6 linked regions of the Sus scrofa genome follow. The protein of the gene in region 1 interacts with the protein of each later gene in a pairwise test. Links are inferred from orthologs where the notes say so. Each region holds a gene or a part of one and is shown on either strand. Other genes may lie near its edges.

Evidence for each region.
Region 2: the proteins of RASSF1 (region 1) and SUV39H2 interact in a two-hybrid assay, tested with the Homo sapiens proteins (2 studies listed by BioGRID and IntAct). The link is inferred for Sus scrofa from reciprocal best matches to the Homo sapiens genes RASSF1 and SUV39H2.
Region 3: the proteins of RASSF1 (region 1) and STK3 interact in binary tests that used the Homo sapiens proteins (3 or more experiments, as listed by UniProt). The link is inferred for Sus scrofa from reciprocal best matches to the Homo sapiens genes RASSF1 and STK3.
Region 4: the proteins of RASSF1 (region 1) and LATS2 come close enough for resonance energy transfer, tested with the Homo sapiens proteins (2 studies listed by BioGRID). The link is inferred for Sus scrofa from reciprocal best matches to the Homo sapiens genes RASSF1 and LATS2.
Region 5: the proteins of RASSF1 (region 1) and STK4 interact in binary tests that used the Homo sapiens proteins (3 or more experiments, as listed by UniProt). The link is inferred for Sus scrofa from reciprocal best matches to the Homo sapiens genes RASSF1 and STK4.
Region 6: the proteins of RASSF1 (region 1) and MAP2K3 come close enough for resonance energy transfer, tested with the Homo sapiens proteins (2 studies listed by BioGRID). The link is inferred for Sus scrofa from reciprocal best matches to the Homo sapiens genes RASSF1 and MAP2K3.

What each region holds. Positions count from the first base shown.
Region 1 is NC_010455.5:32,822,565-32,826,648, reverse strand, and holds the start of RASSF1 (ras association domain-containing protein 1), read left to right. Parts: upstream 1-1,284; 5' UTR 1,285-1,589; coding exon 1,590-1,839; intron 1,840-3,941; coding exon 3,942-4,048; exon of another isoform or gene 4,049-4,084. Other genes in the region: ZMYND10 (zinc finger MYND domain-containing protein 10), read left to right, coding at 1-2, 249-374, 457-578, 690-815, 904-979. UniProt on the Homo sapiens protein: Potential tumor suppressor. Required for death receptor-dependent apoptosis. Mediates activation of STK3/MST2 and STK4/MST1 during Fas-induced apoptosis by preventing their dephosphorylation.
Region 2 is NC_010452.4:46,897,094-46,901,112, reverse strand, and holds the start of SUV39H2 (histone-lysine N-methyltransferase SUV39H2), read left to right. Parts: upstream 1-1,219; 5' UTR 1,220-1,224; coding exon of another isoform or gene 1,225-1,255; intron 1,256-1,463; exon of another isoform or gene 1,464-1,642; intron 1,643-4,019. UniProt on the Homo sapiens protein: Histone methyltransferase that specifically trimethylates 'Lys-9' of histone H3 using monomethylated H3 'Lys-9' as substrate.
Region 3 is NC_010446.5:38,221,302-38,224,801, forward strand, and holds part of STK3 (serine/threonine-protein kinase 3), read left to right. Parts: intron 1-3,030; coding exon 3,031-3,223; intron 3,224-3,500. UniProt on the Homo sapiens protein: Stress-activated, pro-apoptotic kinase which, following caspase-cleavage, enters the nucleus and induces chromatin condensation followed by internucleosomal DNA fragmentation.
Region 4 is NC_010453.5:1,227,971-1,231,470, reverse strand, and holds part of LATS2 (serine/threonine-protein kinase LATS2), read left to right. Parts: intron 1-91; coding exon 92-198; intron 199-3,500. UniProt on the Homo sapiens protein: Negative regulator of YAP1 in the Hippo signaling pathway that plays a pivotal role in organ size control and tumor suppression by restricting proliferation and promoting apoptosis.
Region 5 is NC_010459.5:47,408,094-47,411,593, forward strand, and holds part of STK4 (serine/threonine-protein kinase 4), read left to right. Parts: intron 1-1,306; coding exon 1,307-1,474; intron 1,475-3,500. UniProt on the Homo sapiens protein: Stress-activated, pro-apoptotic kinase which, following caspase-cleavage, enters the nucleus and induces chromatin condensation followed by internucleosomal DNA fragmentation.
Region 6 is NC_010454.4:61,413,369-61,415,598, forward strand, and holds part of MAP2K3 (dual specificity mitogen-activated protein kinase kinase 3), read left to right. Parts: intron 1-573; coding exon 574-713; intron 714-2,230. UniProt on the Homo sapiens protein: Dual specificity kinase. Is activated by cytokines and environmental stress in vivo. Catalyzes the concomitant phosphorylation of a threonine and a tyrosine residue in the MAP kinase p38.

The sequences.
Region 1 (4,084 bases):
AGGTAGGAACTCCTCCCATATCAGCCCCACAGCCCCCTAGCCCTGCCCCACCCCACCCCTGTTTATTTTTACCCACCTGCCTCAACCCTAGGCCTCTCTCCAGAACTTGGGCCTCAGGTGACACACACAGAAGCTAATGGGATGTGGGTCCCACGGGCATCCTTAGTCCAACCCAGCCCAGGGTCTCTCTGTTCCTTGACCTTCTGGTCAGCACTGCTTCACACTGGCCTCCCTGGAAACCCTTGCAGCTTCAGGCATTCCTCACAGACACGCTGCTGGACCAGATGCCCAACCTGGCAGACCTGCAGGGTTTCCTAGCCCACCTGGCCCTGGCCGAAGCCCAGCCCCCTAAGAAAGACCTGGTGTTGGAACAGGTAGGCACTAGAAAGTTAGTTGCTCGGGACCACTGCCCACTTTGCCAGCTCCTCCCTGCTACTCTCCATTTCTCTTCCCCAGATCCCAGAAATCTGGGAGCGGCTAGAGCAAGAGAACAAAGGCAAGTGGCAGGCTATTGCCAAGCACCAGCTGCAGCATATATTCAGCACCTCAGAGCAGGACCTGAGGCTGCAAGCACAAAGGTGAGGCCTGCTGGAAGGGGTGGAAGAGATGCAGAAGGCATGGATGTGGGCAGGGCTGCTCCTGTCCCCCCACCCACAGGTCCAGTCAAGTCCTTCTGACCCTTTTCCCAGGTGGGCTGAGACCTACAGACTGGACGTGCTGGAGGCAGTGGCTCCAGAGCGACCCCGCTGTGCTTACTGCAGTGCAGAGGCCTCCAAGCGCTGCTCACGATGCCAGAATGAGTGGTACTGCTGCAGGTGAGGGTATCCTAGGATCTTGGATCCCTAAATCCCACTTCCATACCCCTCACAAACACTGAATCTTTACTGGCCCACTTGCCTGCAGGGAGTGCCAAGTCAAGCACTGGGAAAAACATGGAAAGTCTTGTGTTGTGGCAGCCCAAGGTGACAGAGCCAAGTGAAGGATGCAGCTGCTGAGGGCCAACCACCATGCCATACAATCCACTAGAGTGTACCCCTGAACCTCTGGATCTCGGCCTGGCCTCTGCAAGTGCCCCAGCCTCCCAGATGAGGAAGACAGCAGGAGGGAAGTGCTGCTGACCCATCTTCCCCAGCAAAGCCATCCCCACTTCCTGCCCCACCCGGCTTAGGGTGCAGCCTCAGCAAGCTGGGGAGAGAGGCCCTGGGCGGGGTTGTGGGGGTGAGAACCGGATGTGGGGACCCTCTTCCTTCAGTAAGTAAAGTAAAGCTGGTTTCCATAAAGACGCCTGTTTTCCGCGTGGTCGTCGTGGTTGTTAGGGGGAGGGGAGTAGCTCGAGGGATGAAGGGAGGTAGGAGGGCGGGGACTCCGCGACAGCAGCACCCGTGCAGCGCCCTCCGGGCTCCACTTCTCCTGCGGGAGGGCAGACGCAGCCTGGGTGCTGGGTATCCCTGGCGCCGCGCTCTTTTGCTCTCCCGCCGCTCTGCCTGAACCCCGGAGGCGGCGCCGCATCGGGGGCCCGCCCCGCGGCCCCGCCCGTCGGGAGCTCGCTCGGCGCCCAGAGCCAGCAGGAGTCCCGGCCGGACCGGGACATGTCCGCTGAGCCCGAGCTCATTGAGCTGCGGGAACTGGCACCCGCTCGGTGCGCCGCCCCGGTCCGCACCCGGCTGGAGCGTGCCAACGCGCTGCGCATTGCTCCGGGCACAGCGCGCAACAACGCAAGGCAGCTGGTCCCGGGCCGAGGCCACCGCTTCCAGCCTGCGGGGCCCGCCACGCACACGTGGTGCGACCTCTGTGGTGACTTCATCTGGGGCGTCGTGCGCAAGGGCCTGCAGTGCGCACGTGAGTAGCGCCCGGGGCATTGGCGAGAGTGAAACGGGTGGCCAAGCTGAAGGCCAAGTTGCTACGGAGGGGGTCAGTGGGGACCACAGACCAGGTAGTTTACTTTTGCCAAATAGCCTAAGACAGTGCAGGCAGATGGGTTATAACCTTGATATCTTACAAGCGTGCCACCTGCATATGGGACATAGGCAGCAGTGGTTGCCTGTGAATAACAAGGTGCTGCTTTCAAGTTTAAAAAGTGCCTTGATCCTTCTTGAAAAAGGCTTTGTACCCACCAGTCTTTGAGTTCATATTCCCACACCTGCCCCTTACAAAGATTCACTCACCAAGTCCCCCTCCAGAATTCCTGGGGTGAAGAGAATTTACCCGACAATGGGAGAAGGCCTTGAAAAAGTTAGACCCTTGGGTAGGCCCCCTGCAAGCAAGAGTTTTTGTTGAAGTTCTCCTTGTGGCTCAGCGGTATCTCATCTGACTAGTATCCATGAGGACATGGGTTCGATCCCTGGTCTTGCTCAGTGGGTTAAGGATCCGGCATTGCCATGAGCTGTGGTATACGTCGAAGATGTGGCCTAGATCCTGCATTGCTGTGGCTGTAGTGTAGGCCGGCAGCTGCAGCTCAAATTAGACCCCTAGCCCAGGAACTTCCCTATGCCGTGGGTGCGGCCCTTAAAAAAAAAAATAGGAGCGTCCACACACCAGCTGATGCTTCTGCCCTCCAGGAACCACCAGCAATAAGAGGTTGCTCTCCCCCCTGGCTATACACTTAGTATGCTTTTACAGTCCTCCAAACCTCTATGCTTGAATCCTACCTGAGACCTGTTGAATCGATCACGAGAGTGTTATCAGCGATTTTTAAAGACAGATCATTCTAATGTGCAGCCTGGGTTGTGAATCAGTGCTCTGGCCCATTTAGGAACTTAGGGAAGCTGTCCCAGGCCTGTGTGTCCAAGGATAGCCTCATCAGGTACAGGAGTTTGTCCTGAATTCAGCTGGGAGGAGCACAGGAGTTGTTACAGAATGCAAAGCATGAACAAGGGCTGGGACATTAGCACTGTTCCCAAGTAGAAATAAAGTGAATATGAAATTGAAAAACAGGAAAATTTGGATGTGTGTCAGAGGCAGAAACAAGGGAGGAATTAAGGATGAGTTAGGGTGATTTTTTTGCCTCAAACAACTGGGAAATTTTTGCTGAGATGAGAAGCTCTGGCAAGGGTAAGAGTGAGGAAAAGTGAGTTTTAAAGGGTAGGAAAGTGAGTTAAATTTTGGTCACGTTGGGTTGAGATATCTATAAAACATCCAAACGAAGAAACTGACACATGGGATTTGATGGGGTTGGAGTCAGTGAGGGAAGCCTTGGATCTCGGGTAGGTCAGTGTACACAGAGCAGGGAAATGACCAGGACTGAGCCTTTGACACTCCACTAAATCTGGAAGTTGAAACAGCAGGAGCTGTAGAGAGGTGGGAGGAAAACCAGGGTAGCACCCCCTCCCCGGGGTGGGGATCAAGGAGAGCAAGCATCAGACAATGCTGAGGAGGCGAAGATGGAGAAGGGCCCACTGGATTTGGTAATGCACAGGTCGCTAACAACCCTGAACAGTGCCGTGTCTGGAGGAAGAGGCAAGCCTAACTGGGATGGGTAAAGGGTGAAGGCGAGGAATTAAGTGTTTGTAGACCAATGTTGGTAAGCTTTTGGTGCCAGGGGAGTACAAATGACACCGAGAGGGTAGAGAGCATTGGGTTAAAAATTTTTTTATTTTTTTCCCCTTCAAATAAATGGGCGGAGGGAGGGGCACTGATAATAAGGAAGGGGAAAGTTCTGTCCTAAGCGCTAGGAATCCAACTGCTAAGCAGGCCTAACCTAACGCGTGAGGCCTTCAGGCGCCCCCGCCAGTTTTCAGGCGCCCCCGCCCCCACCCCCATCCCCCGGGGACCAACACTGAAAATCTGTGTAGCAGTGGGGCGGTAACGGGGCCGGAGATGAGGCAGGTCATGCAGAGCACAGAGAGCAAAGGCCTTCACACCGAGGCTTCCCTTCTGTCCCTGGGACGCTTCTCCAAGCTGCTGCTGGGGTTTTTCCGCCTCACGACCAGACCTCTCTGCAGATTGCAAGTTCACCTGCCACTACCGTTGCCGCGCGCTTGTCTGCCTAGACTGCTGCGGGCCCCGGGACCTGGGCTGGGAACCGGCGCTGGAACGGGATACGAACGTGGTGAGCACGGGGCAGGGGAGTTTATGGGCAAGGCAG
Region 2 (4,019 bases), on another chromosome or scaffold:
TGTTTTACTTAAATTTCTTTTAAAAATCGTTGGTAGACATTAAACAGCTTTCTGCGGAACTTTCGCAATTTACTAGTCTCAGATTTCCGCATCAGATCGTGCAGTACAATTACCATGGACGCAGTGTGTAGAATGGACGGGGGCGGGGTGGGAGTGGAGACCAGTTAGGTCCTAGCAAAGGACCTGTAGGACTTGGCATCTTACAGCCTACCCACAGGCATGGGGCGTAGCCTGGGGGCTCGTCATAAACGCGGAACCTCAGGTTCCAACCCAGACATACCTGATTCGAATCTGCATTTTAACGAGATGCCCAGGGAATTCCCATTACGGCTCAGCGGGTTACTAACCCAACCAGTATTCATGAGGATGTGGTTCAATCCCTGGCCTGCTCAGTGAGTAAAGGATCCCTGTTGCTGCGAAATGTGCTGTAGCTGGAGCTCCGACTTGAGCCCTAGCCTGGGAACTTCCATATGCCCCAGGTGTGGCCCTAAAAAAAGGCAAAACAAACAAAAACACCAGGATGTTCAGATGATTCCTGTACCCATTCGAGTGTGAGAAGCACTGTTCTAGACCAGAGGTTTCAAATTCCACATTTAGAATCACCTGGGGACCTCTAAAAACTCCAATGTTCCGGGTACACCTTTTGCCTATTAAATTTCTGCGAATGGAACCAAAAAAACCCCAAACCTCCAAGGAATCCCAACGTGCAGCCAATTTTGAGAAACTGTGATCTGGAGGAGTAGCCTGGAAGGAAACGTAACAGTGGCTAGTAGGGCTCAGGTGGCTAAGGAACAGGTACGGGAAGGAAACGTACTCTGCACTTTGTAGCTCCGCTCTGCGTTTGAAATTTTGCACGGTGTGTATCAGTAGCACCATGGAAAAGAACTAACAACTGTAGGAAAGCCTGTGGTAAGTGCCTTGAATTAGGCGCTAAACTAGGCAGATCAGGGCAGGTGGCCGCTGACCCAGCCCTACACTCCGGTATTCCGGCCACGGGCTGCTCTCCGGCCAGTTTGCCCCGCCCCTCCGCACACGGGGAGACAACGTGGGGCGCAGGCGCGCTGGCTGTCCCAGACAAGTCGGCCTCGGCTGACGTCAGGACGCCTCGCGGGTTCTAGCCCCCCGCCCCGGCCCCCGAGTCCCGCGCGGGCCGGGCGGGGGCGGGGCGTCGGCCAGCTGAGCTATCCCGTCCGACCGCGCCAGTTTGAATGAAAGCTCCTCAAGATGGCGGCGGCCGGGGCCGAGGCGCGAGGAGGTGAGGGCTGGAGAGCGGCGCCCCGCACTGTCCCCCGTCCTCCAGGCAAACTCCCGAGGCCGGGGAAGCGGGGCCGGGACGCGCGGGCGGGCCGGAGCGCGACGGGACAGGAAGCCTCCTGCCGCGCGGCTGACGCGGCGGCCCCTACACGCGCGCCGCGGGCCCCTCCCTGCCCCGGGCCCCTGACCCTCCTCGCGGCTCGGCCCGCCCGCGGCCCGCAGTCTCCTCCCGCGCCCGGCCCCCGCGAGGCCAGGCCCGCACGCCCCGCTGCCGGCTCGCGGACTCGGCGGTCTGGGTCCCGCTGCCGTTCGGGCCCGAGATGGGCCCCGGCCCGGCCGCGGTGCGGAGGCGTTCGAACGGCTCCGGCGGATCCCTGCGCGGCTCGAGGTCCGTGGGCACACGGGGGGCTCGACTCCTTTGTGCTGCTTTGAGCGGGACGGTTCGCGGTCCGGGCCGGTTTTTGAACTGGGGAGCGGGAGGCCTCCGGTGGTGTAGGTGTGACCTCAGTATCCGAGGAGAGGAGTAGTCGGGGCGGAGGTGTGGAGGCTGAGAAAGGAAAGAAGTGAGGGTACACCCCATTTTGGACTTACTGGGGGGCTTCCGCTCCCAGTTGGGAACATCCCAGGAAGTGGGTCTCGGAGGTTGTGGCCTCCGGCTCATGGGGAAGAGTTCTCCCCGGCGGGAGCTTGCGTGGGAATTAATGAGGTGGACGCCAAGGAGCTCGGTGCTGAACGTGTATTTGTGCGCGCGCTGAAAGACTGGAACTTTCAATGCCTTCTGGAACCTGAAAGGTGTTTCCAGCACTGCGCTTCTCGGCATAGATCGTGGACTCACTGCCCCCCAGCGTGTCTGCCACTAGGGGTTAGTGTGAACTCAAGTTTTGGGGGTGGTCGCGAAACGTTTAATCTTATAAAGGAGTTCTTTCCCTATCTTATTAGAGGCGATCCGAATTGTTACCAGGAGTTTGCAGGTTTTTTAGGTTCCAGTCGTTCTCAAACATAGCATTTCTGTCGAGGCTTGTGTCTTGAATCTGCATAGTACTCCGACTAGATAACAATGGTAGGAACAGCAGACAAACATACCTTGGGTAGATAATCCAGAGGAAGGTCCTTTGCATGCCATCAGCATAAGGAGGTTATCTTGACGCAAAACTTCCTGAAGCTTTTTCAGTGAAAGGATTTAAAGGGTCGTTTCTGTTCTGCCAAATTCCCCTACGTCCAAGCCAACACTCCAAAACAAGCACACTCTTAGCCCTAAATTTTGAAGAGAACAATTCCTTTCACTTTCTTGGTCTGGAATTACGAACCCTACTTCACGGTTCCTGACGGTGAGGTGCCTGTGTGAGTTGGGGAGGGTGAGGACGTAGTAAGAACAGCTGTGTTCTCTCTTCCCTGGAAATTACTTCAAAACAAAAGGTTATCACAACTACCTTGGAGAGCTACCAAGTAAAGCTTGCGTTTACTGATGGATTTTGTTTGGTAATCCCAGTTTACTCCAACCCTCACTCCTTTCTTCCCCCCCCCCCCCCCGCAGTGAATCTGAAACCTAGAAACAGAGAAACTTCTCTAAAGCCAGCCTCAGGGAATCTGGGGCAAAACCCCCTGATCCTCCCTAGTGCTTCTCATAGTCTCATAGCCATAAAACCAAGTTTATGACATCAATTTGTGTTAACATTTTAGGTGCAGTGGGTAGCATGCTATTTACAGGAATTTGAGGGTAAAATCTTCCTCAGCACAGTTAGTTTCTAGCTTCCATTCGTTTCTAGCATACTCTTGATTATGAGTATGTCTGCTTTTCTTCAAGCTTGGTGTATGGATTATTTAAATTGATACTCTGTATTGTCATTCTCGGCTTTAAAAACAATACAGGAATTGAATATTAGAAAACTCAATATACTGTCCATTATTTTATTATAATTCTTGGGCTTATTTACCTTGATAATAATATATTGCAGCCTGGGCAAAACTGGAGTTAAAACTTCATGCAGCCTTCCAAAGTGGGGAAAGTAGGCCATATGATGTATGAGTAACTAAAGAATTATATTTCAATTAGGTTTTATTTCTTATTGTTCAGCTAGGAGAAAGGGGGAACGTTACTTTTAACAATAGACGATAATTTTAAAATATATTTAAGATGTATTTATAGTGATGATTAGTATGTCCTTGAGATCTACATTTTTATTAAAACAGCACTTCTCTGTAGAATACAATGGAAAAGTAAAAAATATCTCTACCTTTGCATTTATATGTAATTTAAAAAAAATTTATTGGTGCTTAGTTGACTTACAATGTTGTGTTAGTTTCAGGTGTACAGCAAGTGAATCAGTCATAAATAGAGCCATTCTTTTTTCCCATTAAGGTTATTACAAACCATTGAGTAGATTTTCCTGTGCTATACAGTAGATTCTCATTAATCATCTGTTTTCTACAGTAGTGTGTGTATGTTACTCCCACCCTCCCAATTCTTCCCTTCCCCCCAATGGTTTCACCTATAGTAACCTTAAGATTGGTTTTGAAATCTGTGAGTTTGTTTCTGTTTTATAAATTAAGTTCTTTTGTGTCATTTTTTAATTAGATTCCACATATAATGCATGTAATTTTATGAAAGCTTACAGACATGAAACATTTTGTTCAGGTGGCCTAGTAGAAACTAATTGACATCAACTAAACATGTTAGGGTAGAGACCCATGAGAAAATCCAAGAAGACCGATTTACCAAAATAGTTCTTTAATGGTTAACTTTTTCTTAAAGACATGTAAATGAT
Region 3 (3,500 bases), on another chromosome or scaffold:
AATTGTAAACCTGCACCTCTAACTTAAGCAACCAAGTAGACCAAAATTTAAATGTAAGTTAGGTACATGTATTTGGGGAATAGTGGATTAAGCAATATAAAGGAACTAGTTTCTTAGTTGCAGCTCTACTTTTAAGTAGGTATGTGACCTTGGAGAAGTCTCTTACTTTCTATAGGCTTAAGTTCTTTCTGTATAAAATGAGAGGTTGAATTATTATTATTTTTTGCTTCAAAAACTGATTTTTTTAAAGTATAGTTGATTTATAGTGTTGTGCCAGTTTCTGCTATACAGCATATAGTGACCCCGTTTACACACACACACACACACACACACACTGTCTTCCATCATGTTCTATTCCAAGAGATTGAATATAGTTCTCTGTGCTGTACAGTAGGACCTCATTGCTCATGCATTCTAAATGTAATAGTTTGCATCTACCAACAAGGAGAGTTTTGGTTGAATTATTACAGGTTCATGATTTTATAATTCTGTGAAAAAGTAAAATATAACAAATGCTTACTGTGTGTGTAATACTGAATGAAACACTTTAGTAGGTTCAGAAATACTAAAAGGCATTCTTAGCCATAGGTACTTACATTAAAAAAGATTTTATAAAACAGTTAAATATGAGATCATAAATTTAAATGCAAAAATGTATGATGCAGGTTATAAATTCTAGAAGTTTGGAAAAGAAGATAACTAATAAAGACTGAATTGCCCATGAAGGTAAAGATACTTGAGGAGTTCCCTTCGTGGCTCAGTGGTTCACGAGCCTGACTAGGAACCATGATGATGCAGGTTTGATCACTGGCCTCGCTCAGTGGGTTAAGGATCCGGCGTTGCCATGAGCTGTGGTGTAGGTCACAGACATGGCTCTTATCTGATGTTGCTGTGGCTCTGGTGTAGGCCAGCAGCTGTAGCTCCGATTCAACCCATAGCCTGGGAATCTCTATATGCCATGAGTGCAGCTCTGAAAAAAAAAAAAGATACTCGATCTGGAACTAAATAGGATTTAGTTAAGTTAGAGAGGAAAGAGCATCCTAGGTAGAGAAAAAGACATGAGCAAAGATGAAGTCCCTTTTGTGTGTGTGTGAAAAAAATACAAATTTATTATTTTATAGTTCTGTAGGTCTGAAGTCTGAAATGGATCTTACTGAGCTAAATTCAAGATATTAGCAGGTTTGTGTGCTCCTTTCTGAAGTCTCCACAGGGGAATCTCTTTTCTTGCCTTTTCCAGCTTTGGAATTGCTCACATTTCTTGGCTCATGGCCTCATCCCATTCTGTCTTCAAAGCGAGCAACTGTAAAGTTGTTCTTACATTGCCTCTGTTAGACACTGATGATGATGAGCATATTGTGATATGGGTTTATAGCAAGCATCTGGAGACTCAGTCAAGGTTAACCTGACTATCTTGGACCATATGTGAACAATGCGAAAATAGGATCAGCCACATAACATAACATAGAGGGCATTAAAATCTGGGCAGTTTTGTTTAGCTTTCATTGTAGGCAGAAACCGGGAGCTATTGCAGATTCTTCAATAGAAGAATATTATGATACAAATAGTATTCAAGAAAGATTGGCATAGTAGGTATACTTTAAAGAAGGCTGGAAACTACCTTGTCCCTAGTAGGCTGCAGGCATTTTGAATACCTCTTCTAAATAATCCTCATAACACCAATGAAAGAAAAATGCATTTAATACACCTAGCCTGCCAAAAAGCATAGCTTAGTCTAGCCTGCCTTCAGTGTGCTCAGAACCCTTAAATTAGCGGACAGTCAGGCAGAATCATTTAACACAAGGCCTATTTTGTAACAAAGTGTAGAATCTCACACGATCTGCTGACTCCTGTAGTGAAAAAGCACAGAATGGTTGTAAACATATTGGTTGTTTACTTCCCTGATCACATGGCCGACTGGGAGCTGCAGCTCACTGCTGCTGCCCAGCATCATGAGAGTATCACCGCATATTGCTAGCCTGGGAAAAGTTCAAAATTTGAAGTACAGTTTCTACTGAATGTGTATCTTTTTTGTATCATTATAAAGCTGGAAAATTCAAAGTGGAACCATTGCAGTCACGGACCATCTATTTGTAGATACTTACATACCAGTGTTGAGAGCGTTATTTATAATAACCAAAAGATATAAACACCTTAATGCCTATTAACAAAGGAATGGGTAAACATAAGGTGGTGTGTGTGGGGGTGGATGTGTGTGTGGCACATACACACGTATGTACATTGGAAAATTATTGTCTTTAAAAGGCATGAGATTCTGACATCCTGTACAACATGAATGAACCTTGAAAATATTGTACTCAAAGAAATAAGACAGACACAAAAGGCATGACTCTACTTAGAGGAGGTAGAATAGGTGGATTCATAGTGACAGAAAGTAGAATAGAGGTTACCAGAGATTGGAGGGAGGAACAAGGAGTTACTTTTAATGAGTATAGAATTCTCTGAGATGATGAAAAATTTCTGGAAATGCATCTTGGTGATTGGACAACATTGAGGATGTACTTAGTGTCATAGAACATGGTTAAAATGGTAAGTTTTGTGTTACATATTTCACAATTTCTGAAAAGCTAACAGCTCCTGTACAAAGTTACGAACATTATTAATGCTGTTATAATAGTGCCAACATTTCTCTCTTTCATGTGCTCTCTTTTATTTGTTTATTTTGTTACCTTATTCTTTGTTGATCATCTACCTATTTGAATCATTATTTTAAGAACAGCTAGCAGCTTTCTGTTTCACCAGCCAATTTCTATTGCTTGAGCTTTAGGTTATTTTGGATAACTTTGGCTCTTACGATAATATAACTAACAGTAGTCATTATTAAACATATACTATGGTCCTGGGTCACCATGCTATACAGTAGAAAAAAAAATTGTATTGGGGAAATAAGTATTAAAAAAATAATTTAAAAAACTGCAAAATAAAAGTATACTATGGTTGTACTGTTGTTAAGAAGTAAGATATCCAGCTGTGTTAGAAAAGTCTTCCTTCATTGCAGTGTTTTGCTTGCAGGATGAAGATGAGCTGGATTCCCACACCATGGTGAAGACCAGCTCGGAAAGTGTGGGCACAATGAGGGCCACAAGCACGATGAGTGAAGGGGCCCAGACCATGATTGAACATAACAGCACAATGTTAGAATCTGACTTGGGGACCATGGTTATAAACAGCGAGGACGAGGAGGAGGAAGATGGAACTATGAAAAGTATGTGGCTTTTTCCCATTGAATATTAACTTTCTGTTTTGGGAATATACTTCTATAGGAATCAGGATAGTTCTGTGTTACTTTTTATAGCCAGTTGTGCAAAGTTTTGTTTCTTGGCTCTATTTAACAATGAAAGACATTTGACACAAGTAAGTTTTTAAAAATTCTTTTAAAACAGCAGAAAGCAGTGCATCTTTAATAACCTAAGGGGTTATGGAACTTTTTGCTGTTGAAGGATGCTAACCCACAATTTAATTTGTAAAGTGTTTTTGAGATA
Region 4 (3,500 bases), on another chromosome or scaffold:
AGAGCACATACGGTGCTTGTCACAGGCTGATGGTGGAAAATCAGGACGCATCCGGGCCTGTGCCCCTCAGGAGCCCGACTCTGTCTTTCAGGGTACACCCAGCTCTGCGACTGGTGGAGTGTCGGCGTGATTCTCTTCGAGATGCTGGTGGGGCAGCCGCCCTTCCTGGCCCCGACTCCCACGGAGACCCAGCTGAAGGTAACGGAGCGGGAGTCGGGGCTGCCCCGTGGGGCTGCCTGATGAGCCGGGCGGTCTTTGCCGACATCCACCTTTTATCCCCAGTGGTGTAGTGCTGTCCCTTGTCCCTGTGTGTAACGGGAGTTTTCAAAAGTATTGTTGTGGGGAGGTCCCATCGTGGCTCCAGTGGTTAATGAACCCGACTAGTATCCGTGAGGATGCAGGTTCCATCCCTGGCGTCGCTCAGTGGGTTAAGGATCCGGCATTGCCATGAGCTGTGGTGTAAGTCACAGATGCGGCTTGGATCCGGCGTTGCTGTGGCTGTGGTGGAGGCCGGCGGCTGCAGTTCCGCTTTGACCCCTAGCCTGGGAACCTGCATACACCACGGGAGTGGCCCTAAAAGACAAACACACACACAAACACACACACATACTATTATTACTACTTAGTTAAAGTGTTTTAATAAGTAAAGGCACAGAGTCAGACCCAGGTTTTGACTTGAGGTATTACGGGACCGTGGTCCCCTGCCGTCTTGGTATCTCCAGGTGGGGATTGGGAACAGAGAAGCAGGAAGGCTGCAGGTCTGGGGCGGCCGAGCGAGACCCAGCAGAGCTCAGAGCTCAGAGCGGTGCCCGAGCAAGTCGCTGTGTTGCTTTGGATGTTGGGTGTTACCTGGTTGCCGCTGGCAGGTTGTCAGCTGTGTGGTCAGGCTAGCTCTGCATGTTTCTCATGTTCATTTCAAGTAAGTAAAATCTCTCTGTCACGTAACAACTTAGTGCTAAATAGTTTTAGCACAGGGGCCCTTTACTCTCCGAAGTGAATGGTTGGATGGCCTCGAAGGCGGGACGGGAGCCTCGTTGACGTCTCTGGAACTTCTGAGAACCGCGCTCCCACCTGCTCCCTGACAGTCCTAGAACGTTTTCACATGCCCCTCAGTCCACGGGAGACCCTAAATCAGTAACCTCTTGGTTAGGAAAACCTTAAATTAAGGCTTGGTTTTATTACAGTGATCATAAGTTGGAGTTTGGCAGTGTCTGTATCTTCATCGAACTGCTAAACCAGTGACTGATTTGCCTGCATGATGATAACCTGGTGCATAAATGTGCCGACACTTGGCATGGAAACCCCTTTTAAGTGTACAGTTCAGTTGCATTAAGTCTGTTCAGAAAGGTGTGCAGCTGTCACCACTGCCCGTTTCCCGATGTTTCCATCATCCCAGGCAGAAGCTGACCCACTCAGCGGTGGCCCTGGGGCCCCGGAGCCTCTCTGCTGCTTCTGCTGCCATGAAGTGGCCTCCTCCGGGCCCCGATATATGTGGCACCATGCAGCTCTGGCCTCCGTGGCTGGGCCCTGGTATACGTGGCACCGTGCAGCTCTGGCCTCTGTGGCTGGGCCCTGGTATACGTGGCACCGTGCAGCTCTGGCCTCCGTAGCTGGCTCGTTTCACTCAGTTCAGCCCTGCTGTCGCCTGTGTCCGGATTTCCTTTCTAGGCTGAACGGTACCCCACTGTGTGTAAGTAACGTTCCACTTTGTCTGCCCATCGTCCGGTGGTGGCCGTTCAGGCTGTGTGTCCCCTGCCCTTGTGAACAGGGCTGCCGTGAACCTGAAGGTGCCTGCCTGGTCCCTGCTGTCTCCCAGTGTGTCTGGGTCGATGCCCAGGACGGGCTTGCTGGGTCCGCGGTTATTCCACCTGGAACCTTCTGAGGAACCTGCGTGCTGTTTCCACCATTTGACGTTCCCTCCGACAGGGAGCGGAGTCCCTGCTTCTCCGCATCCGTGCCCACATTTATTTTCCTCTTTTTTTAGTAGTAGCCTTTCTGGTGCGTGTGAGATGGTATCTCCTGGCAGTTTTGAGTTGCGTGTCCGTTGTGTTCAGGGATGCTGAACGTCTCTTCCTGTGCTTCGTGCTCATTTCTGAGAGAAAGGTCTCTTCAAGTCCTTGGCCCCACCCCCCACTTCTTTCTTTGTCTTTTTTTTTTTTTTTTGCTTTTTAGGGCCGCACTTGCAGCACATGCAAGTTCCCGGGTTAGGGGTCCCAGCCTGCAGCCACAGCAATGCCAGATCCAATCTGCATCTGCGACCTCCACCACAGCTCAGGGCAACGCCGGATCCTTAACCCATTGGGCGAGGCCAGGGATCGAACCACAGCCTCATGGTTCCTGGCCAGATTTGTTTCTGCTCTGCCACTGCAGGAACTCCTCCTTTGCCCTTTTTTGATCAGGTGGTTTGGGGGTTTGTTGTTGAGTTCTTCTTGTATTCCTGACGTTAATCCTGTGTCACATCTACACTGGGCATCAGTCTCCCCCTCCATGGGTTGCCTTTTCGCTCTGCTGATTTTGATGTGTACAAAGTTGAAATTTTGTTGAGTCCGTTATGTGTTTTGTGTTTTATTGCCTGTGCTTTTGGTGTCATATCCAAGAAATCAGGGCCAGATCCACCATCGTGGAGATCCTCCTCTCTGTTTTCTTCTCTGAGTTTTATAACTTCAGCTCCAGTAAACAACTACTCAGGTTCCAACCATCCCTCGTACCCCCGCTCCACCCTCGCGCCACCCCACTCATGTGGCCTTGGTTCATCCTGACTCCGGGTGTAAACAGGAAGTCCCTTAGAAAAGAAAAACAACGTTTTCGGAGTTCCCTTGTGGCGCAGCAGATGAAGGATCTGGCGCTGTCCCTGCTGTGGCTGGGCTCGCTGCCGAGGCGCAGGGGTGACCCCCTGGCCCAGGAACTGCCACATGCTGCGTGTGCAGCCGGGAAGGAACAAAAAGAAGTCCCCGAGGCGTCCTCTTCACAGGGAACCTGACCGTGACCCAGGCTGCTCTGTGTGCTTGAGCGTCGGGAACCGAGGGTGTCTCTCGCACCCCGTTCCTCAGGCTGTGGGCCTCCCGCTAAAACCACGCGGGCCATTAGCTGTTCACGTCCTTCTCTGTCTCTTCTCTTTTCCCGAAGGGAAACTATCAAAGTCTTACTTTGATATTAAAAATTTTTAGATTGACGTGTAGTTGGTTTATGGTATGTGTTTGTTTCACGTGTACACAGAGTGATTCAGTTGTGTGGTGTTTCCAGGTTCTGTGCTGTCTCAGGTTATTACAAGACATGGGGCAGTTCCCTGTGCTCTTCAGTAGGTCCTTGTTGCATGTCTGTGAGTCTGGTTCTGTTTCGTAAGTTCATTTTATTATGTTTTTCTAGATTGCACGTAGCAGTGGTACAATGTGGTACTTGTCTTTGTCTGAACTGACTTCACTAAGGATGATAATCAGTCCCTAGGTTCATCTAGGTTACTTCGAGTGGGATTGTTTCATTCTTTTTTATGGCTGCGTGGT
Region 5 (3,500 bases), on another chromosome or scaffold:
ACAGCAATATTTATTATTATTGGTTATTTTTTTTTTAAATTATTGTTCTGATCATTACTTTTCTTCTACAAAGACAAGGCTATGTTATATGTAATTTTGAATCTAATATTTTTGCTTCACAGTGTGTCTCGTACATTTTTCCCATGTCAGAAAAATGTATCTAGGAGTTCCTGCTGTGGTGCAGTGGACTAAGCATCCAACTGCACTGGCTCAGGGCACTGCAAAAACATGGATTTAATCCCTGGCCCAGTGCAGTGGGTTAAAGGAATCCGGCGTTGCTGCACCTCTGGTGTAGTTTGCAGCTGTGGATCAGATTCAGTTCTGGCCCAGAAATGTCCATATGCTGCTGAGGCAGCAATAAAATTTAAAAAAAAATGTATCTAGCTCTTTTGTTTTGTTTTGTTTTTTCTGGGGTCACACCCGTGGCATATGGAGGTTCCCAGGCTAAGGGTCCAATTGGAGCTGTAGCCGCTGGCCTACACCACAGCTCACAGCAACGCTGGATCCCCAACCCACTGAGCAAGGTCAGGGATCGAACCCACAACCTCATGGTTCCCAGTCAGATTTGTTAACCACTGAGCCATGCCGGGAACTCCTAGCTCCTTTTTTTTTAATGTGGTGTTTCATTGTGTGGATATTTATTGTACTTAACTTGTTGCCTTTAGTTGGTAATTCGTGTTGTTTCCTTTTTCTTTTCTCCTTTCTATTACAAATATTTCTGAAATACTTATGCATATATCTTGGGGTACTTATACATAGGACACATTTCTAGAAACAGATTTTTTTTTATGGCTGTACCTGTGACATATGGAAGTGTCTGGGCCAGGGATTGAATCCAAGCCACAGCTATGGCAATACCGGATCCTTAACCCACTGAGCTGGGCCAGGGATCGAACCCGTGCCTCTGCAGCATCCCGAGCCACTGCAGTCAGATTCTTACTCCATTGCGCCACAGCAGGAACTCTCAGAAACTGATTTTGGTCAAAGGATATGGACGTTTAAATTTTATAAATGTTGCCAAATTGCCTATTATCAGTACTAGTTATTGTTAATCTTTTTAATTTTTGTCAATTTCATTTTAGTGGTTTTATTAATTGATTGTTATTTTTATGTTTAAATAATTGAGACTCTTTTACATGTCTGTGTCATTTGAATTTCTTTTGTGGCTGCTTGATCGATCATGCTTCTTTAATATGGTTTTTGTGTGTATTTCAAGTCCTAGTCGTGTCTTCTTGTTGGTTTGGACAGGACTCTCTTTCCCAGTAGTTTTAATGCTTGGTGTTGATCTTCCTCCTTTCTATTTTAGGATACCATGGCCAAAAGAAATACAGTGATAGGGACACCATTTTGGATGGCTCCAGAAGTGATTCAGGAAATAGGGTACAACTGTGTGGCAGACATCTGGTCACTGGGAATCACTGCCATAGAAATGGCCGAAGGAAAGCCGCCGTATGCCGATATCCATCCAATGAGGGTAAGAACATGGACAGAATATCAGCGGGGTGGTTAGTTACCAGTGATCATTAGAAGGTTGGTTCAGCGACTTACTTGGTTAGGTACCAAACAATAAATGAATTAATTTTAAATAGTTGATAAGTGTCAGTCTAGACTCCAGTTGTACACTTCCATTAGTTGTAGTCACTTATGAATTCAAGTGTAATCCACTCCTCTCCATTCCAAAGATTGTGTACTCGTAGCCCTCTGGCAGGACATGGGCCAAGAAATGCTTGGTTTGACTTGTGCATTGTGTGTGTTTTTAATAGTTCAGGTTCTCGCGTTTTAATATAACAGCATTAACTGGAGCTGAGGAGCAGTCCTGACCTTCATACAGGGGCGTGGGCTTAGCACTTTCCCAGTCTCCACGATTCCGTATTCACCAAGTACCAGTTATTGCTTATTGCAGTGTTTTCTGTTTTTCTTATAATAGTATTAAGAGGAAAGCAGACTGTTTTTTTGAACTCATGTCACTAACACCCAGCCTGATTCATTTGTTGTCTTTTTCCTGTCTCGTCCTTACATGAGTGAGTTCTGGAGGCTCTGTGCTTTCCAGGCTCCATCCGCTTGTGGAGTATGAAGGGCCCATAGAGTCATTCTCCATTGAAACTCCTTCTGTGTTGATAGCTAAGCAGTTTCCAGGCTTCAGCCACCATAGAACCCCCCTCGTCACAGCACTGTTGCAAGAGCTCAACCCGGCCTTCAAGGGCTCCGTAGTCCTCTCCAGACTGCCCATCCCAGCTCCTCCTCTCCTCTGATTAAGTAGTCCTTCTGTCAAAAGACCTAACAGTTTTTTTTAAAAGTATTTGTGTGAAAATAATATATATACAAAATAAAGTATTCGTGTGCTCAAAGATAAGCTCCGTCTTTGTAGGGGGCAGAAGTGGAGAAGGATGGGAAGATTTACTGGTTATATTTTTAGATTGAATGAATATAATGTAAGCTGCTTATTGCAGAGTTTTATTTTTTCTAGAAACTGTACTTCTTTTATTGGAAACACGATAAATAATATAGGCATACCTCGTTTTATTGCACTTTGCTTTATTGCTTTTAACAATTGAAGGTTTGTGGCAACCCTGCATCAAGAAGTCTGTTGGTGCCATTTTTCCAACAGCATTTGCTCACTTAACGTCTCTAGTCAACATTTTGGTAAATCTCGCAATATTTCAAACTTTTCCATTGCTGATATATTTGATATGGTATCAGTGATCTTTGACGTTACTATTTCAAAAAAAGATCATAACTCACTGAAGGCTCAGATGATGGTTAGCATTTTTAGCAATACATTATTTTTTTTAATGCAGGTATATACATTGTTTCTTTAGACATAAAACTATTGCACACTTAATAGACTACAGTATAGGGGAAGCATAACTGTTATATGCACTGGGAAACCGAAAAAATCATGTGATTTGCTCTATTGCAGCAGTCTGGAACTGAACCTACAGTATTTCCTATAGTTTTATTTTTTTTGGAAATAGTAGAATTTAATTGCCATGTAGTAGGCCAATTTTTTTTCAAGTATGTAGAATTAATGTGGCTTGGAGGCTGATGACTCTCTTGTGATTTGGGGGACTTCTAGGTTTATGACCTCCTTTCAGTCACTTTTTTTTTTCTCTGCTTTTTAGGGCCGCACACACGGCTTCTGGAGGTTCCCAGGCTAGGGGTTAAATCGGAGCTGTAGCTTCTGGCCTATGTCACAGCCACAGCAATGCGGAATCCCGAGCCGTGTCTTCGACCTAGACCACAGCTCACGGCAACCTCGGATCCTTAACCCACTGAGGGAGGCCAGGGATCGAACCTGCAACCTCATGGTTCCTAGCTGGATTTGTTTCTGCTGTGCCACAACGGGAACTCTGCAGTCACTTATTATATCCAGGGGTGGTGGTAACTTTTAGGGAAGAGGGAAACTTGACAGCTACAGGGCTGGGGTTCTCTTCAAGATGTTGATGTTTGGTCTTGCCTTTTCACTTTGAGTGGCAGTGTACTTTGGTCAGCAAAACCCC
Region 6 (2,230 bases), on another chromosome or scaffold:
GCCTGTGACCTACACCACAGCTCACGGCAACGCCGGATCCTTAACCCACTGAGCGAGGCCAGGGATTGAACCTGCGTCCTCATGGAGGCTAGTCAGGTTCATTAACCACTGAGCCACGACGGGAACTCCTCGTTTGCCCTTTCAGGGGTAACAACCCAGATCAGTGCAGCAGATGCTTAAGACATTGTGGAGGCATCGTGGCGGGTGGCCTGTGGCAAACAGGGATGCTGGTTACCCAGGTTCCTTTGCCGACTGCCACCTTGTGGGAAGGTGTCCCCACCGTTTCTCCAAAGGAGCTGGAACCTAGGTTTCCATGTAAAATCTTCTGAATCCAGATTGAACACCCAGCGTAGCCAAGCCAGTCACAACTCGGGGTGAGAGCTTAGTCTGCTGGCTGGGTCAGAGGAGTAGCTGCTGGGGTCCCCTGCCTTTCTCGCTTTGGCCTGACGGGCTGTGTCCGCCCTTCACCTGCCTCACAGGCCAGCTCTGGGCGCTGGGCCAGGATCCGCGAATGGGCTCCGGGGCTGCAGAGCTGCGGCTGCGCTGGACCCACTGTGGCTGTCTCCCCTGCAGATCGAGATGGCCATCCTGCGGTTTCCTTATGAGTCGTGGGGCACCCCGTTCCAGCAGCTGAAGCAGGTGGTGGAGGAGCCGTCCCCTCAGCTCCCAGCTGACCGCTTCTCCCCCGAGTTTGTGGACTTCACCGCACAGTGGTGAGCCTCAGCCCCGCCCGGACCTCTGGGCCTCCCCAAGCCCAGTCAGTACCCTCCCTCTTCTGGCAGATCCCAGCTCCTCCCTGGGTCCCGTCTCCCTCTCTGTAGGCAAATAATGCCCAAACAACATCAAAATATACAAGGCAGACATAATTGGAGCACAAGGAAATTTGACGAAAATGCTCCTGAGGATAGGTTTTATTTATTTTTATTTTGTTGCTTTTTAGGGCCGCACCCATGGCGTATGGAGGTTCTCGGGCTAGGGGTCTAATCAGAGCTACAGCTGCTGGCCTGCACCACAGCCACAGCAACAGCAGATCCGAGCTGTGTCTGCGACCCACACCACAGCTCATGGCAACACCGGATCCTTAACCCCCTGAGCGAGGCCAGGGATCGAACCCAGAACCTCATGGTTCTCAGTCGGATTCATTACCACTGCATCACAATGGGAACTCCTGCTGGGGGTAGATTTTTTTTTTTTTTTTTTTTTTTTGTCTTTTTGCCACTTCTTGGGCTGCTCCCGCGGCATATGGAGATTCCCAGGCTAGGGGTCTAATCAAAGCTGTAGCCACCGGCCTACGCCAGAGCCACAGCAACGCGGGATCCAAGCCGTGTCTGCAACCTACACCACAGCTCATGGCAATGCCAGATCCTTAACCCACTGAGCAAGGGCAGGGATCGAACCCGCAACCTCATGGTTCCTAGTTGGATTCGTTAACCACTGCGCCACGACGGGAACTCCTGGGAGTAGATTTTAATACAGTCCTAGAAACAGGAGGATGAAGAAGATCCAAAAAGGAAACGAGAAACTTGGGCGTTCCTGCTGTGGCACAGCGTTAAGGATCCAGCATTGTCTCTGTAGTGGCTTGGGTTGCTGCTGAGGTGCAGGTTTGATCCCCGGCTCAGCCCAGCCCAGTGGGTTAAGGATCCAGCATTGATGCAGCTCTGGTGTAGGTCACCGCTGTGGCTGGGGATTCAGTTACTGGCTTGGAAACTTCCATATGCTGTACTGTGGCCAAAAAAGAAGGAAAAAAAAAAAAAAAAACAACCAAAAGCTTAGAGAGGATTTAAATGCATAACAAATTTGTTTTTTGTTGATGTTTAGAACTTTGTACCAAATTAAAGAATGCCCACAGGATCCTTATAAAATTAATTTCCTTGAGGTTACAAAAGAAATAAGGGAAAAGGCAGAAGGCAAAGTCATATAAGCCATGGTCTCTGACTGTAATTAGATAAAACAGGAAATCCATAACTGAAAAGAAAATATCTGTATGGAAATTAAAAGTAAATTCTTCTTGGGTTATGAGAGAGACTTAAAAATAAAATTATAGACTAGTCAGAAGTGAAGACAATGAGAACGTAACATATCAACATCTGTGTGTTATGGCCAAAGAGATACTCAGAGGAAAATTCACAGCCTTTATTTCTTTAATTGGAAAATAAGAAACAAGTGAGCCTGGCTGACTGAGCCATTCTCTTCCAGAACCCATAGTAGGGCACTTCCCCTCTTGATTAGG